Linked DNA regions of Ovis aries. The protein of the gene in region 1 purifies or fractionates together with the protein of each later gene. This does not show direct contact. Links are inferred from orthologs where the notes say so. Each region holds a gene or a part of one and is shown on either strand. Other genes may lie near its edges. The genes, in order: VASP and PFN1.

Evidence for each region.
Region 2: the proteins of VASP (region 1) and PFN1 purify together in Homo sapiens (affinity purification with western blotting; 3 studies listed by BioGRID and IntAct, with this or other methods). This does not show direct contact. The link is inferred for Ovis aries from reciprocal best matches to the Homo sapiens genes VASP and PFN1.

The regions. Positions count from the first base shown.
Region 1 is NC_056067.1:52,896,266-52,904,718, forward strand, and holds part of VASP (vasodilator-stimulated phosphoprotein), read left to right. Parts: intron 1-3,101; coding exon 3,102-3,273; intron 3,274-3,356; coding exon 3,357-3,522; intron 3,523-4,587; coding exon 4,588-4,681; intron 4,682-5,179; coding exon 5,180-5,229; intron 5,230-5,349; coding exon 5,350-5,591; intron 5,592-5,726; coding exon 5,727-5,827; intron 5,828-6,358; coding exon 6,359-6,410; intron 6,411-6,571; coding exon 6,572-6,608; intron 6,609-6,829; coding exon 6,830-6,875; intron 6,876-7,028; coding exon 7,029-7,119; intron 7,120-7,652; coding exon 7,653-7,710; intron 7,711-7,834; coding exon 7,835-7,872; 3' UTR 7,873-8,453. UniProt on the Homo sapiens protein: Ena/VASP proteins are actin-associated proteins involved in a range of processes dependent on cytoskeleton remodeling and cell polarity such as axon guidance, lamellipodial and filopodial dynamics, platelet activation and cell migration.
Region 2 is NC_056064.1:26,322,262-26,331,303, forward strand, and holds PFN1 (profilin-1), read left to right. Parts: upstream 1-2,879; 5' UTR 2,880-3,033; coding exon 3,034-3,165; intron 3,166-4,605; coding exon 4,606-4,798; intron 4,799-5,425; coding exon 5,426-5,523; 3' UTR 5,524-5,776; downstream 5,777-9,042. Other genes in the region: ENO3 (beta-enolase), read right to left, coding at 769-784; E3 ubiquitin-protein ligase RNF167, read right to left, coding at 6,449-6,747, 6,826-6,906, 7,532-7,625, 7,767-7,872, 8,093-8,183, 8,344-8,431, 8,578-8,651. UniProt on the Homo sapiens protein: Binds to actin and affects the structure of the cytoskeleton. At high concentrations, profilin prevents the polymerization of actin, whereas it enhances it at low concentrations. By binding to PIP2, it inhibits the formation of IP3 and DG.

The DNA.
Region 1 (8,453 bases):
GTCCACTTCCTGCCTTCCTCGTCAGACCCCTGGTGTCCCAGTGCCTCAGAGGCAAGCAGGGGAGGCTAGTCCCCTGAGAAGCAACCTCTGCTTTTCACCACTCTGGGTGCAGAGGTATTTATATCCTCCCCAGCTTTTTTTTAAAAAAAAAAAACAAAAACCTCTCACACCACTTTATACCTTGCCTTAAAAAAAAAAAAATCAGCTTAGCTATTTCCTCATCGTTAAATGAGGTTAAGAACATTGGGGGTGGGGAAGATCAGGACTTGGGTTCAAATATGAGCCCCTCTGCTTGTTTGCTCTGTGACCTGGGATGACTGTCTTCACCCCTCTGTGGCCACAGTTCCTTGTCTGGAAAAAGGGTGTTCACAGTAAGGTTCGCTGTGGCAGCTGGAGCTCAGTACCTGGAACGGTGTCTGGGACACAGACTAACCAATACATGTCAGCGGCTGTTAAAAAAAAAAAACCTTTTTTTATAGACGGCTAATTTAACAACTCCTGGATACCTGCTAGGTTCTAGGCACGAGTCTAGGTTCTGAGAACACAGTAGTGAACAGAAAAGGCAAAAATCCCTGCCCTTGTGGTCCTGACAGTTTGATGGGGGAGACAGATAAGGCCCTGTCAGTCAGGGATTGGGTGTTATGAAACACCCAACGGTGTTTGCAGTGAGAGCTTTCCCAGGTAGGGTAGTCAGGGAGGGCTCCTCGGAAGAGGTGATGGCTACGCAGAGGCCTGAAGGAGGTGAAAATCCAGGTTGAGGGAGAACGAGAGCACAGCCCTGAGGTGGGAATGTGTCTGGCATGCTGAAGTGTTGGCTAGAATGGCCGGTGGGGCCGGTCGAGGGGAGATCAGAGATCATACAGATTATGAAGGCCCCAGAGAGAACTTGGCCAGAATAAAAACTCTGCTGGGAGCTGCCAGCGGAGCTTCCAAGAAGAGGAGAGACGCGATCTGACTTGTGTTTCAACAGGACCCTTTTGCTAGAATGGGGATACCGTGGCTTGGAGAGGGACAAGACCAGTCCGGGGTTACTCACCAAACACCCAGAGCTCAGGCTAGTCCAGAGACTGAGCAGGGCAGGGGCTCTTGGAAAGAGCAAAGTGCAGCTAGGGTGGGGTAGCAACGAAGGCCCTGGGCAGCTGGCCAGAGTCTGCCCTGGGTGTGGGTGGCAGGTGTGGGCGAGGCCTTAACCCTGCCCTGCCGGGGGCAGTGGAAGCCAGAAACAGCCCCTGAGGCTACGCTTGTCTAGAACCAGCACCTGGTGTTTGGGTAGGGCCCACACAGTCCCCAGTGGTGAAGACAGTGGACTTGGGGGCCAGGTGGCCTGGGTTCAGATCCTCGCTCTGCTAGGTGAGTCACACAACCTCTCTGTGCCACTGTTTGCAGTCCTTGCAGAATGAGGATGAAACAGCCCACCTGGAAGAGCTGCAGTGAGAATAAAATGTGAGACTCCAGAGAAAGGGCAGAGGGAGGCCCCCTAATTATGCAAACCTGGGGGCTTAGCTCCCTGGCCTAAGAACTCGGATCTGGGTCAGCTGAGGGGGCTTTCCCTGCCTTGTCTTTTATAGTGTCACTGTCACGCTCCAGCCCCCAGCCCTGGTAGAGACAGAGCCATTGCGGGGTGTAATTTCTCTCCCCAGAAACCTCTGACCACCAACTTCCTCTTTTCAGGAAAAAGTCCGGTGGGGGTGGGGCTGGGCAGGGACTAGTGCTTCCCCCTGGTTTGTGGGTGACCTTGGCCAAGTCACTTCCCGTCTGGGAGCCTGAATTTCCCCACTGAGAGAGGAGGGCATTGAACCTTCCCAGAAGGACTGGTGAGGGGTGGAGGAGGGCTCCTTGGTGCCTGTTCAGAGTGCTTGGGGAAGGGATGCTGACAGTTACTCAGCACTCATGCCAGGCACCACGCCAAGCACTCTACATGCCCAGACTCATTTACTTCTCCCACTGCCCTGGGAGGTGGGGTCTGTCATTTCCCCAGTTTGCGGGCAAAGAAGATGCCTTCTGTGGGAAGGTTGCTCGCCTGAGTCACATGGAGTAGGTGGCCCAGCGGGGATTTGAACCTACGTCTGAGGATATCAGATCCTGAACCCTGAGCTGCGTTACTCAGCCCCCTCCCCACAGGGCTAAGTCAGATGTCACCTCCTCCAGGAAATCTTCTCTGATCCAAAGGCTGGGGCAGGCCCTCCTGGGCAGCCCCAGGCCTGGTCTTGGATTATCACCATGTGCGGACAGGACAGTCCCTTGCGATGCTCTCCTGCCCTGCAGGGTGGGGGCTGGGGCTGTCTGGGTCACTGCTGGACACAGAGCAGGGAGTGTCTGCTGATGGCCGTTGGTGCCAGGGGGCGGGGGAGGGTGGGTGGTGCCGGATGGATGGGGTGGGCAGCAGGAAGGGGAAGAGCCTGGGATCTTGCATCGGTCCCCAACTTGCTGCAAGCCTCACCCTTCACCTCCCTGAGCCTCAGCTTCCTCCCTCCACAGTGGGGAGTCGGGGCAGGAAGGTCCAAGCCTCCTGGCAGAGACAGGGAAACTGAGGCTCCAAGGGCATCGGGCAGGGGCTTGTTCCCAATGCTGCCCAGGACACCTGCTCTGTCCCTTGCATCCGCTTCTCCCGGGCCCCCCCCCATCAGCTCTCACGCCACATCTCTGTCTCTCGGTCCATCTCAGTCCGCCTCCCCTGTAACAATCTGACCCCCTTTCTTACCTCTCTCCCCGTCATCAGTCTGTATGTTTGCCTCTTCCAGCCGGTCTGACTCGTCCTCTTCCTGTCTCTTGCTCCCCGTTTGACTGTCTGTCTCTTTCCTTGTCTGTCTCACATCCCCCGGTTTGTCTATTTGTCTGTCTCTCCCAGTCTGTCTTTTGTCGTCCCACCCGTCTTTTTCTTCTCCAGTCTCCCTGTCTGGGTCTCTCTGAGGGCCTGTCCTCAGCCCTCTCTCTCGGTCTGTCTTCCTCTTCCTCTCCTTGGGTCCCTCTTCCTGGCACACTGACTTTGTGTCTGTGAATCTCCCAGGGGAACGAGAAGGTGACCGGCCCCTGGGGGGAGGATGCCAGGCTCCCCAGAGCTAACTGGCCTCTCCCCCTTGCCCCCGCCCGCCTCTCTGCAGCGAGACGGTTGTGTGCACCAGCCGGGCCACGGTGATGCTCTATGATGACAGCAACAAGCGCTGGCTGCCCGCCGGCACGGGCCCGCAGGCCTTCAGCCGCGTCCAGATCTATCACAACCCCACCGCCAACTCCTTCCGGGTGGTCGGCCGCAAGATGCAGCCGGACCAGCAGGTGAGGCTCCCCTCCTCCTCGCCCCCTCTGCCTGCGGGGCCTCACCACCCCCATCCACTTCTCCCCTCCCTGCCTCCCGCCAGGTGGTCATCAACTGTGCCATCGTCCGAGGTGTCAAGTATAACCAAGCCACCCCCAACTTCCACCAGTGGCGCGATGCCCGGCAAGTCTGGGGCCTCAACTTTGGCAGCAAGGAGGATGCCACGCAGTTTGCCAATGGCATGGCCAGCGCCCTAGAGGCCTTGGAAGGTTAGAGACAGTGGGCGGAGGGGACCGTTGAGCCCTGCCGTGGGGCCTGGGGCTGCCCCTTTACCACTCGGCCTCAGTATACTCATCTGAAAACAGGGCCCATTCACTGCTGCTACGGAGAGTTTCTGGGCTGGCCGGAAAGCTCATTCAGGTTTTTCCAATGCTACGGAGAAATCCAAATAGGTTTTTTTCGCCAACCCAATTTTGTGGGCTCCTCTTTGCCCTGCGTGCACCCACGTGTCAAACGCATGGTTCCTAAGAGCCCATTTGGCTCCGTGAATTTTTACACTTGCGCACTCCTTTGTGACCACCTCCCAGATCAAGATAGAAATATTTCAGGCCTCCGGGAGGTTTCCTTTGCCCTTTCTCCAGGTAACCATTAGACTGACTGACATCATTGTCAGTCAGTTTTCAAGCCACAATGTTAAGAAAATACTTCCAGTTGGTATTTCTTAAACTGGAATGTGCCTGCGAGTCATCTAAGAAAAAATGCAGATTCTGAATCAGGTAGGTGGGCCAAGACCGGAGCCTCTGTGCTTCCCAACAAGCTCCCTGATGATGCCAGAGCTGACCGGTCCATAAGGAGCACTTTGAGGAGCAACGGTTTTAGGTGACGGCTGTGCGTCTAGGTTCGCCAGTTGTCAAATGGTGGAGGCATTTGCTTCCAAGGGCAACTGCAGTGGCAGTCTGAAGCACAAGAAATAACGGGAGCCGGAGGCCTGAGGCTGGGTGAGGAGGGGGCTGTCAGCCTCTTCTGAGCTCTCAGGTAGGGGGTCTGAGCAGCTGTGACTGTGCGTTAAGAGCCTGGATTCTGGAATCTGCCTGAATTCAAGTCTTGTCCCTGCCAATTCCCATCTGCAGGCCTTGGGGTGGGTGACCCCCTTCTATGGGCCTTCGCTGTCCTGCCTGTGATCTGGGTATCCTTCCAGTGCCCACCACCTGTCAGCTCAGTCAGGGGAAGCGGGAGCCAACCCTCCTCACAGGGTACCCGGAGGCCCCTCGGGAGCGTGCCAAGGGGTGGGGCTGGCTTCTGTGTGACTCACTAGCCTTTACTCTCACTTCCAGGAGGTGGGCCCCCGCCCCCACCACCACCTACAGCGCCTCCCACCTGGTCTGCCCAGAATGGCCCCTCGCCAGAGGAGATGGAGCAGCAGAAAAGGTGGGGCTGGTCCCCGGGTGGGAAACCTTCCCCCAGCCAGAGTTCTAGGTGGTTCCAAAACCCTTGACGCCTAGAGTTCAGACCTGTCCAACTTTCAATTTTCAGAATGTTCCAACTCCCAGGGGACTAGAAATCCACAGCCTTAAGAACCACCCTCCCCGCCTTGGAGTTTGAAAAACTCCTGATGCCCAGAGTTACAGAACCCTTCAAATCCCAATCCCAGTCCCCTGGACTTGCAGAGTCCAGAACGGGGTTGTTTAAAGGATCTTGGGCGTTTTGTGATTCATGATGGTCTGATGACTGGATCGCTCCCATCCCGGTCTTGCCCTGTCCCTGCCCTCACCACCCCACCCCCCAGCCCTTTCCCGGGTCCCTCGGGGATAGAGGACATGAGTGGGGCTTAGGAACCAGCCCTGCCGGACACCTCTGAGGGGCAATCCGGGAGGTTGCTGGCCACCTGGGAGCCCTGGGTGATAGCCACTCGCCCTCCCTCCCCAGGCAGCAGCAGTCAGAGCTCATGGAGCGGGAGCGCAGAGCCTCCAACGCAGGTGATTGCTCAAATGGCCTCGGGGGGTCAGGGGACCGCCCCAGAGGAGGGGGTGGGCCAGCCGGACAGCAAAGCATGAAGCTTCTCTCTCAGCACCCCTCCTGTTTTGTGTTCCTTACAGGAGGCCCGCCTGCTCCCCCAGCTGGGGCACCTCCACCGCCCCCGGGACCTCCCCCTCCTCCAGGTCCACCCCCACCCCCTGGTCTCTCCTCCTCAGGGGTCTCGGCCGCCACACAGGGAGCAGGGGGAGGCCCGCCCCCGGCACCCCCTCTCCCCACAGCACAAGGCCCCAGTGGTGGAGGGACCGGGGCCCCCAGCCTGGCCTCAGCCATTGCCGGCGCCAAACTCAGGAAAGTTAGCAAGGTGAGGGGCAGGCGCAGCGGATGTGGGGTGACGGGTCTGATATAATAATGGAATGAGGCTAGAGTTGCCTGGGAGCCTCACAGGAGGGCTGGGAGGCCCGCCCGTAAAGCCCTCTCTTCTCTGTAATTTCTCCAGCAGGAGGAGGCTTCAGCGGGGCCCGTGGCCCCCAAAGCTGAGAGCAGTCGAAGCACGGGCGGAGGCCTCATGGAGGAGATGAACGCCATGCTGGCCCGGAGGTGAGCCCGAGCTCAGAGCTCTCAATGGTCTTGGAAAGCTCTCAAAACAAACCCCTCAACCCAGCAGTTATCACCTGGAGATTCCGGTTCAGTAGGACCAGGTGTGGGGAGGGCTCAGATTCCTGGTTAGTTTGTTTCGTTGGGTGAAAGTTCATCCTTTGACAGCCAGGTTTGAGATATAATGATGGGGACTGCATTCTCCTGAGATGACTGAGGTTTGCAACCCCCTAGGTAGCCTCTGGAATGTTCTGGAACCCAGAATTGTAGGACCTTAGATGACCCCACCTCAGAAGCTGGGGACTCTGCCCTGAGAATTTTGTGATTCCCAAATGTAGGAATCCTAAACGCCACCCCCACCCCCTCATTCGAGAACAGCACTCTCTTTGACTTCTAAAATTAAAATGTGCTTAGCCTTGATGAATTCCAGAAGTCGGCACCCTAGGACCCACTTTTCCAGAACTCTGGGGAAGGGAACTATTGAGTGGCTGAGAGGGGACAGAAGCCATCTGTTTCTGCCTTTCTCTCTCACAGAAGGAAAGCCACGCAAGTTGGAGAGAAACCCACCAAGGATGAATCTGCCAATGTGAGTTAGGGACCCTTCCTGCCTTATACACCTTAGGATGTACCATTAGAGTAGGAATATTGGGGCGGGGGCTGTGATAGGGATTGGCTGTGTTTGAAGGTGGAGGAAGAAAAGGAGCAGAATGGCCATGTCTGGCTCATGACAGTTTTATTTCCCACCAGCAGGAGGAGTCAGACGCCAGAGTCCCAGCCCACAGTGGTGAGTGAGTGAGAGCCCCCTCTAGTCACAGGAACTACAAGTCCCAGGATGCCCTCTTCTCATGTATAACACACCTTCATGGGAGAGTCTGTACAGATAATCCTGGGGATTGTAGTCTCCTGAGATGGTTCTTTGAATGGGGGTTGATGAGGCTCGGGAAGAAAGGCTGAGGCAGGGCATTCCTTGTTCCTGATCTTTTTGACTTATTGTCTGTCCCCCAGAATCTGTGCGGAGACCCTGGGAGAAGAACAGCACAACCTTGCCAAGGTGGGCCATCAGTACTGGGGCCCCACCCCTAGAAAGAGTCGGACTTGCCAAGTTTGTAGGGAGGAACACAGAGTGACCCCTGGAATGGGAGGCAGGGGAGGCAGACCCTCTCTCTAACCTTGTTTCTGCCCCACACCACGCCACCTCTCCCAGGATGAAGTCGTCGTCTTCAGTGGCCACTTCCGAGGCCCACCCACCTACGCCTAGCTCCAGTGATGAGTCAGACCTGGAGAGGGTGAAACAGGTAGGGGAGGGGACTGGGGGTGAGGGTTAGGGGATAGAAAGATCTGGGTCTAGACTCTGCCACTGACCTGCTATGTGATTCTAGAAAAGGCCTTGGAACCCTCAGCTTCCCAGTCTGAGTACTGGAGAAATTGGATCGTGTCAGGGATGACAGACCCCATAACCGCCTTGTACAACGCCCATGACAGACCTTGCTAACATCACTACACTCATTCCTGGTGAATATCCAGAATCCTTTTCCGCACACTGGCCGCAGACATTTATCGCCAACCGGAGTTGGCAGGAGACTGGAATGTCTCATTTGCCAGCCCTGGTACTGGATGTTCTCCATTGCTTTTCTCTCTGGTTCAGAGGATCCAGAATTCTCCTCTAGAAATCTCAGTCACTTTGTGGCCTGGCCAGTGATGTCATGGTGTGTGTGCGATACGGGTCTTGACCCTCCTTCCTCTGGCCCCTCAGTCATTAAGAAACTGGGGATTCACTTCTGCAAGTCCAGGTACTCTTCCTCATTGGTTGTACCCCCATCATTTTCAGGAGCTTCTGGAAGAGGTGAGGAAGGAATTGCAGAAAGTGAAAGAGGAAATAATTGAAGGTGAGGTGTTTTCCTTTTTAAGCATTTATTTATTTTGGAGGCATGGTGTCCCTTGGAACCTTGTTTTGGAAGGGAGAAGGGGAAGAGGCTCTGCCCCTGACCTCTGCCCACTGTTTCCTTCCAGCCTTTGTCCAGGAGCTGAGGAAGCGGGGTGCCCCCTGACCACAGGGCCCCAGAAAATCCAGTTTCTCCTTTCTGCATACCCCCTCCACCTGTCACCCTGCTTTCCCTGCCTCGACTTGGAATTGGCTGAAGTCTACACAGGAATGCATCGTCCCCACTCCCTATGTCACTTGGAAAATTCCAAGGGGTGTGGCTTCCCCAGCACCGTGCCCACACCCATATTGGCTGCTGATTGGCTGGGGAAGCCCCCACCCTTTGTTCCCTTTGATCCTTCCCCTCTGCCATCCCCTTGGGGCTGGTTCCTCTGCTGGGGATGTACCAAGTAACCCCACAGTAAGGGGGAAGGAAGGAGGGAATTTCACATTCCCTTGTAGATTCACTTTAACGCTTAATGCCTTTGAAGTTTTGTTTTTTAAGAAAAAAAAGTATATATATATATATATATTTAGGTTTGTTGTGGGGGGAGGAAAATTTTTTTTTCTCTTTGGTTTTGATAAAATGGGGTGTGGGAGTTTTTAAATGCTGTGTCCCTGGCTTGTCCCATTTGGGACAGCTGTGTAAGGAGGGTTGTCCCACCAGGCTGGGGGTGCCTCCCCCTACCCCAGGGACCTCCCTCCCTT
Region 2 (9,042 bases), on another chromosome or scaffold:
AACTCCCCTTCTCCGTCATCTCTGTATGCCTCTCTTCACAGTCTCGTTTTCCTATCCTTGGGTACCCCCATCCTGTATGCTCCAACTCCTCCAGGATTCTTAAGCACAAGCTGACATTTCCCCCAGGCCAGCACAGCCCTCATCCTTTACCACCCCCATCCCCTGGGGCTGGAAGATTCACCAGACCTGGGATGTCTTCGCTGGGCTCTAAGTCTAGGTGGCAGCTGGGACAGTGTCAGCTCACCCCCTCTCAGGCCGGGAATTTATCCTGGAGCCACCCTGTACCCCAGCCAGCCCCGCCTCTCCCCCTCTCCATCCTCCCCCTGAAGCCAGGCTGGCAGCCAAGTGCCCACTACAGCCTAAAGCAGCAGCTTTTGGCCCTAGGCACCTGCCCCCTTCCCAAAAGGTCAATGACTATCCCCTCCTTTCTCTGTTCTCCAATAAAAGTCCTTATTTTTAATTCCGTTCCTGGGCAGAAAGAGGAGAGGGGCTTCAGAATTGGGGGGAGGGGTCTCTCCCCGTGTCAGGATTGTATTCCTCTTTTGCAAAGGTTAAAGAGGAACTAGTGCCCTTTAGGAAAGGCCAAGGGTAACCTGAGCCCTACAGGGCTGGGGAGGGGGCCTGGAAAAGGGGCTGCAGGAGTGACATCCATAGCTCACTTGGCGGGCGGGGGACTGCCTCTGTCCTCAATGGGAGCTGGGGAGGGGGTTCCGGCCGAGAGCAGAGCTCTAAATTGAACTGCCCACTCAGAAGGCGAGAGGGTCTCACCTCTCAGGGTCCTCATGGCGGTCTCTCTCCGCTCCACCCCATCCTACCCTCTCCAGGCCGGCGAGGGGAGTGGGGGAGGGGGGGAGACAGACGAATTTAGACAGGCCCTAGGAGTTGGCGCGGCGCCCTGCTGATAGCGCTGGGACAGCACTTATCGCCGGCGTGGAAGCTGTCAGTCAGAAGCCCTTTCTCCACCGATCGCGACTGCTGGCGCTTTAGGGCGTGATCCCAGCCCATCAATGAATGGTGCTGAATCAAAAGTGACCCCCCAAAAAATGAATGGACAGAAGGTGAAGTGCCCCTTTCTGAGCGTCTGACCGCCGGGGGCCAATCGGGTGGGCCTCTAGCACGGCGGGGAAGTGGGTCTCTGCAGTCTGTGACTCTCTCCGTCTCAGTGGGTGCGGCGCAAGTAAAGTCAGCCCTGACTTTGGCTGCAGCTCCGGCCAGGAGCGGAGGGCATGCGGGTTTCAAGCCGGCTGGCCGGCCGGCGGGCGAGGGTCACCGGCTTCTCGGCTCTTCGCCCCGGACTCAGGAGACCTAGCCTGCCGGCGCCTGAGCGGCCGGCGCCCGGTGACTCACCCCCAAGCTCTCTCCCGAGCTCCCCTCCCCGCCCTGCCCCGCGGTGTGTCTCCCAGCCTTCTCGCCACCCCCCACCCCCTTATCTCTGGCCGCTCCCTCTCGGGAGATTTCCACCCTGGGGTAGGGGGTGCGGTAGGCCAGAGGTCAGGATGGCGGGCGGGGAGCGCCGCCACGTGCCCGCCTGCGGCCCCGCCCGAGTTGGCCAGTGACTCAGCCGCGGCGGCTGTCGAGGAACACTGGTTCGGGGGGCGTCGGGTGCTCCGTGGGTTCCGAGTGGCCGCGCCCGCTACGGAGGACAGGAGGGAAACGAAGCCCCTTCGCGCCCGGGAGCCGCCCCTCCCCCGAGGGACCGGAAGCGGCCTAGCCCCTCAGCGGCCCCGGCGGCCAGCGCGAGCTAGAGTCACCTAAGCCGGACTCCAGGTCCTGCCCCACCCGCTTCCCGGTGGATAGCCAGCGAACTCATCGCACACAAGTTCTTAGCTTAAGTTTTACTGAAAAAGAACAAGAAAAACCCAAAAGGGCAAAGTTGAAGGGACTTTCCTCCTCTTGAAAAAGTTGCAATCTTGAGAAACCGCTTAGTATTCTTCCGCCTTGGAAAATAGGCCCGCCCGTCTGGCCCCACGGTGCTCAATGACCTCTGCAGACACGGGCCAAGGGGCACAGCCGGTGACCCAAACTGCTGACCGGGGTTCGGGCAGGGCTGGGACGTGGAGTGAGGAATGAGGCTGGAGCCGATCCAGTGAGTCACAACCCCCTGGAGTCGAGGTGGGCTCCAGTGAGTACCGCTTGTGCCGCCCGGGCAGATGCTGGGGACAGAAGTGTCCCTGGTGGGTGCCTTCAATTCTGAAGACGGCCGGGGGTATTTGGTCTAATTTCCTTTTACTACCTTATTTCTTGAATAAATAAAATCAAGAGGGCAGAAGCGGCCAGGCACACGCCACGCCTCGCCTCCGCCCCTTCCGCCCGGCGGGAGACACGTCCCCGGCCTGCCTGCCCTCACCGAGGGTCCAAATCAGTCCCGCTTGGCGCGCCCGGGCGCGCGCCCGCGAAGCCCGCCGTCTGCCCTAACCGCCCCACGCGCTTTCCCTCTCGGCCCCGGCGCAGGCGCGGGCGCACGCGCCCCGCCGCCGCCCGCCGTTCCTGCCCCCGGCAGAGGTGGGGGAAGGGGGAGTCGTTCTGTTTAACCCTGAGTTACCCGAATCCTCTTTAATTTGCTAAATTTGCAGTTTGCTAATTCTTACTTCTTTCACTTTCCTTCTTCCCTGTGGCTCACTACCTTTCCTTCCACTAAAGTCTGATAGTTTAGGCGGAGTGGAGCGGGCCCTAACCTTAACCCATCCCCACCCACCCCGATTCTTTTTGCCTCGCTTTCCATCGAACTCTGCAAATTTTGCAATAGGGGGAGGGATTTTTTAAAATGCATTTGCAAAGTTCGGTATCTGGGCAGGAGAGGGGAGGGAGAGAGGGAGTGGGGAGCAAGCCCCGCCCCCACCGCCCTTTGCAAATAAAAATCTAGGGGGGTGGGGAGGAGCAGGAAGTGGCGGTGCGAGGGCTGCTGCACAGCTAGCAGAGCCGCGGTCCGGACGGCAGCGCGTGCCCCAAGCTCTCCGTCTTCCCCCGCCCGCCAGCCCGAGCCCAGCCCGCGGCCCCAGCAGCAGCCCCGAGAGCAGCCCCAATAGCAGCGCCATGGCCGGGTGGAACGCCTACATCGACAACCTCATGGCGGACGGGACCTGTCAGGACGCAGCCATCGTGGGCTATAAGGACTCGCCCTCCGTCTGGGCCGCCGTCCCCGGCAAGACCTTCGTCAACATCACGGTACTGAGAGGCCTGCACAGTCCTGGGGACTGGCCCGGCTTGGACCCTGAGGGAGGGACTCGGGTGGGGGCGGGCGCGGTCTGCGGAGGGCGGCGAAAGGCCGTGACCCGGTCCTTGCCCTGGAAGTGGCGCGAATGGCGGCTGCACGTGAGCGGGCCCCTCCATGGCCCCCTGAATCCTCCGCCCCGGGCGGCGGCGCCCAACCCGCCCGCCGCCCCGCTTTCCGCGACGGGGCGTTACATCCGGGGCACGGGGCGGGGAGGGTGCGCCGCCCGGTGCGGCGGCCCACTTCCGCCTCCTCCAGGGCGGGTCGGGCACGCGCCGTAGTTTCTACCCAGGATTTTGATTGAGCAGGGACTTGGGGACCCCGGGACCCCTAGCTCCACTTCCGGCCGCCAGCTCGCGCCCCTTCCACTATTGTTCCTCTGAACCGGGAGGGAGCCCCAGTCGCATGGCCTGGGTCCCTAGCCCGATCTCCGTGGGTTCCCTGCCCCTCCCAACTCCATTAGAGAGGGCTAGGGCGCCACACGACGACCCCCTCCCCGCCAGTCGGCCGGTCGGACTCAGCATTCTTGAGAGACCAGTCCCGGGAGTCCCCTCGCCTTCCCTTCCCGCCATCAGGCAGGGCCTGGAGCAGGGGAACTTTGTGAGAAGTTCTAGGACAGTATAAGTGAAGGAAGAAGGGATGACTGCTGCTGTCCCCATCACCAACTCCCCTGTCCACACTGCCCGGAAGTGGGGAGGGGGAGCGGAAGTTCGAAAGGGGGGGAAGGGGATTTCCGGGCGGGAGGGGACCGGATGTGGGGATTTGGGGTGTAAGGGGGAGGGGAAGATACGTTCCCCGGGGTATCTAGACCCGAGAGCTGGCTGTCGGGTCTAGCCCCAGGCCCCCTCCAAAAGTTCTTCGACTTTCGCTGAATGCCCCAAGGCATCTGCTTGCTCATCTTAGAGCATAGATACCTGAACCTAAACTCTAAGTTACTTAGAGACCCAGGCGTCCGGGCCCCTAACAACTCCTGCAGAACCTTTGACCAAATAAGGGCAAAGTTGCTTCTCCTGCTTTGCCCGCCCCCTCCCTTCCCCTCTTCGCTTCTGCTTTTCCTGAAGGAGAGTTCTGAGCATCCAAGGCTCTCCACTCCATTCTCTTAACTGGTTTTTGGCCCCATTTATTTACTGGGTTTGCTTTCCCTATTAAACGACATCTAAATCGACATCTGAGTCAGAGGACCATGTTGTCCCTTCCTAGTACCATTCTCTAGGTTTCAAGATCATATTTTTGTGCACTTCCAACAATCCTGAGTTTCTCAAATTTCACGAATGTGTACAAAGCACATAACATACACCTTTCACCCCAGGGGGCTTAGCTTCCTTGAGAAATGGAAGACAGGTGAGAACTTTGGTGTATTGACTAACTTGCTGGGTGCTTGGTTCCCTTTTCAGCCTGCTGAGGTCGGTATCCTGGTTGGCAAAGACCGGTCAAGTTTTTTCGTGAATGGGCTAACGCTTGGGGGCCAGAAATGTTCTGTGATCCGGGACTCACTGCTGCAGGATGGAGAATTTACCATGGATCTTCGTACCAAGAGCACCGGTGGAGCCCCAACTTTCAATATCACTGTCACCATGACTGCCAAGAGTGAGTTCTTACCCATTCTCTAGCTCCAAAATCCCTAACGTACCTCCTTTTGTTAATCTTTTGGGTTCTTCTGTGTGGTCACTTAGTATGAAAGGATCAAACCAGGTTTCTACTCCCAGCCTGCTGGATGCTGGGGCATCGAATTGTTCCTCTAGTTCTGTCTCAGTGCCTCACCATACGCCTCACCATACGGTGTAGAGAAGTTGAACTGTATTACCTCTTAAGTTGCTTCTTACCTTGAGCATTTTCAGAGGAGAAACTCCCTGTTTTCTTGGAGGAGGTAAAAGGTTCATTGTAAGTCAGCATTCTGCTCTTGTCTTTTGAGCTCTTTTGTGAAAACTTGGAGGTGGCCGGCTCATCCACAGCCATTTCTAGCCTGAACACATGAGTCAACAGTCCAGGAGCCTTTGACCCCTAAATTTTACTGTGCTCCTTTCCAGCCTTTAAGCTTGATTTTCCCCTTTTGAAAAGACCTATTGTTTCAGGGTGACTGACAGCCTGCCTGTGTGTGGGGGGTTGGGAGAGATGAGGTTGGGTTACAGCCCCCAGGGTTGGACAGCTGCTGAACAGCTGGCAGGGGGTGGGGTGGTGACACCTGGGTCCTAGCCTCCTTTCTCTTTCCTCCAGCGCTAGTCCTGCTGATGGGCAAAGAAGGTGTCCACGGCGGTATGATCAACAAGAAATGTTATGAAATGGCTTCTCACCTGCGGCGTTCCCAGTACTGACCTCGTCTGGCCCTCCCCTCACCACTCCCCACTGCTTTTGCACCCCTCTCCTTCCCACACACATACATACACCATTTTTATTTTTTGGGCCATTACCCCACACCCCTTATTGCTGCCAAAACCACATGGGCTGGGGGCCTGGGCTGGATGGACAGACATCCCCTGCCCCCAACCCGTACCCCTCCTGTGTGTGGTTGGAAAACTTTTTTGTTTTTTGGGTTTTTTTTCTGAATAAAAAAGATTCTACTAACAAGGTGCTGTGTGGTTTTAGCCTGGGTGTCAGGATGGAAGACAGCTCTTGTGACCTGTCTCCTTTATCCTGGCTTGGGGTTAGAAGCGGCAGGAGAGTTTAGGAAATACAAAGTCTAAGATTTTGAGCTTCTTGCTTTCATGTCCAGGATTAAACACCTGGCCAGATTGGCCAGGCCTTCTCCAATAACATATCCAGCCCTAGGTTCCCAGTGTGCTAGCTAGATGAATTGGTGGATAATGGAACAGAGCCATCCAGACCAGAGAATGGGTCCAGGCCTGTGGGCAAGGCAGAGCCAGTTGAGTCATCTTCATGTGTGGGTGGGGCTCTCCCTCTCTGAGTCACAACAGATGCCTACTGGGGCTGTCCCCAAGACGGCAGGTTAGCCTCCCCTCCCCGCACACCCCTGTATGGTAGAAAGGGGCAGTTCCCCAAAAGATAATACATTTCCCTGTGTGAGAATGATCTCACCCTTCCTTAGTCCACAAAAACAGTTTTATTAACCCAGTAAGTGAAGACCCTGTCCCTTTGTACCCCGAACCCCTTCAAAAGGATGGAGCTGGGTAAGGGGAGAAATCTGGGGTGGAAGTATTTCCTATCCCTCAAAACTAGAAGACTGGAGAGAGCAAGAGGGGCTGTGCAAACAGGTCATCAGAGGTGGTGCGGAAGGGAGTATTAAACCAGGATGGCAGCTGAAGAGGTAGAGGGTGAGGGGTCTGTTGAAGACCCAGGAAAGACAAGGGGTGCTGGAGCTAGAGAGCCAAAGGAGGAGGGAGGTGTGGGGCTGGAGCCCAGAAGAGGGGTCCGTTCTGAGGCAGGCTGGTCCCTTGGCTCCCCTTCCTCATCACCCTCTTGTCCCTGGGTTTCTTCCTCCTGCTCATCATCCCCAGGACCCCGATGCACAGGCTGCTTGCAGATGGGGCAGGTCTTCCGGGTTTGAGTGAGCCAGGGGTCCACACAGCGGCTGTGATAAGCTGCCAAGAGGAATGAGGTAAAGCACCTGATGCCTGCTAGGGGCCTGGGGACATGGGCACAGGAAGTGAGGGCCTCACCGTGAGCACAGGGGAGTACCCTCAGCTTGTCCCCATCCTCATATTCATCCAGGCAGATGGCACACACATCATACTGGTCTCCTAGTGGAAGAAGAAAGTTTTTACAGAACCATTCTAAACCAGGGCCCACAGGAAGTCACTCTGGGAGGCCTGTGCTAAACCTGCAAGATATTTTTCTATCTCTAAAGAGCCAGAGGAAGAGCTAAGATGAGCAGGGTGGAACATGAGGAATCTGGGGTTAGAAGGCACAAGCAAAGAGAAGCAGAGGTAAGAAGGGAAGTGGGTTTTCTGGGGGTTAGTGTTAGTGGAGAGATAGTGAGTGGGAGGAGAGGAAGTGGGGCGGGGCTTCTGCCATAGCCTTATAAGGGCATTGGAGGCTCCAGGCCTGAAGACCCAGCCCCTTCTTACCTGTGCCTGCCTTCTCTGGCAGCATCTTCCCCGCTCCTATTTTTCTGCTTCATCCACCTTCTCTCTTACGAGAAAGGTCCTCCATCTTTCCCCCTCCCCCCAACTATTCCATTTAATCATCTTTGTTTTCCATCTCCTGCTCTAAACCTGTTCTGTCCTTTTATGTACGGCTTTAAAAAGGAAAGATGGCATCTCAAACTGACATCTCCCTGCCATCTCTGCCCCTTATCTCCTGGGCTTCAACTCCATCAGAACCAGGTAAGTGGTGGGAAAGGCCTGCTCCTCTAACCCTCCTCACCCTTCTGATAGTCATGTGTAGGGATCTGTTTCAGCTGCTCTTTGGTCAGTCGATTCCGCTGGAGCCGTTTCCTATGCTGGATGCAACGAACTATCTGGTGAAAGGGAGTGGATGCATCAGTCTTAGAAGAAATCTGGACAATCCAGTATAAACCATCCCTGTCTTGCAACCCCAGAGCCAATCTGGCTTTAAAATCTGGCCTTGACTCTCCCATCTTGGTCCCTGAGCTACTCACCATCACTGCTCCCATGGCCAAAACCAGCAGTCCTACAATCCCTGTGAAAGGGATGAGGTAATAGCCCAAGGGGAAGCTATTGTCTGGGACCAGAAGCACCCGAGCCCTGGGAAAAGGAAGACCAATATCAGAGGGGCGGAAAAGGCAAAAGGGCAAAGAAAGAGGGACAAAGTAACTGGCTCTGGACAGGGCGGGTGGGGATGGGGGAGAAAGTACCAAGAGGAAGAGTATGATGGGCCTGAGGCTGAATGGTTGGGGCACAGGCTTGGGCTCCAGGATGGCATGGAAGTGCTGAAGGAAGAGTAGGAAGGAGGGACAGGTCCTACCCCTTCTCGTAGACAAAGAGGGCACGCAGGTACTCGGAGCTCCTCTCCCCAATAAACACAGACGGGATCCAGATCTGCTGCTGGATTTCCTCTGCAGGGATGAGGGCATTACACTGGGGACCCAAGCTGCCACACGAATCCTTTGACTCTCTTGTCCCATCCCACCCAAAGCACTGATTTCCCTAAGGCTCCACCCCTCCTGCCATCCTCTCAGTCTAAGCTCTACTGAAAATGTAGATGTCCAGCCTTACCACTATTCCACACCATGTTCAGAAGTTCATTGGAATTCACATTGTGTACCACAGCTGCACCATACCCAGCCTTCTGAGCATTAAGGACCTAGGGAGAAAAGGCAGATAAGAAACCGTCATGGGCGTTGCCACCTTTTGTTCCTGGTGCTCACCCTCCCAGCTCCCACACCACATTCAGCAACCTTGAGGTCAAAGTTGCAGTCGAATCTTCGAAGCAGTGCAATAAAGACTGACCCGTTGACCGGGGCTGGGGGTGGTGGGGCAATGGGGCTGCAGGCATTGTCTGGGTGAGCCTCCACAAGGAAGCCCTGGGGAAGAGAAGCAAACAACAGTTGGATTTCATCTCCCTGGGTTCTGCTCCCCACAGGTTCCACCATGCACACTGGCTCCCACATCCTGCACATCCTCGTTCCTGGGGTTGGTCTGAGCAACCACACCAAAGTCGAAAATCTACCTCTTAAGCTTCTGAAGATGCAATTCTGGGCAAACAACAGCCCTTTACTAGATTCTGCATCATCCCTCTCTTTCCCACATGAGCTAATCTGTACCCCCACTCCTGGCTAATTCTTCGGCCTTCCAGTTCCCCACTCACTGTAATTCGATTCTCCATTCATCCACATCACTTTCTCAAGTTATTTCACATTCTCTGCTCTAGTACATACTTGTTTAAAAAAAAAAAAAAAAAAAAAAAAGGAGGTA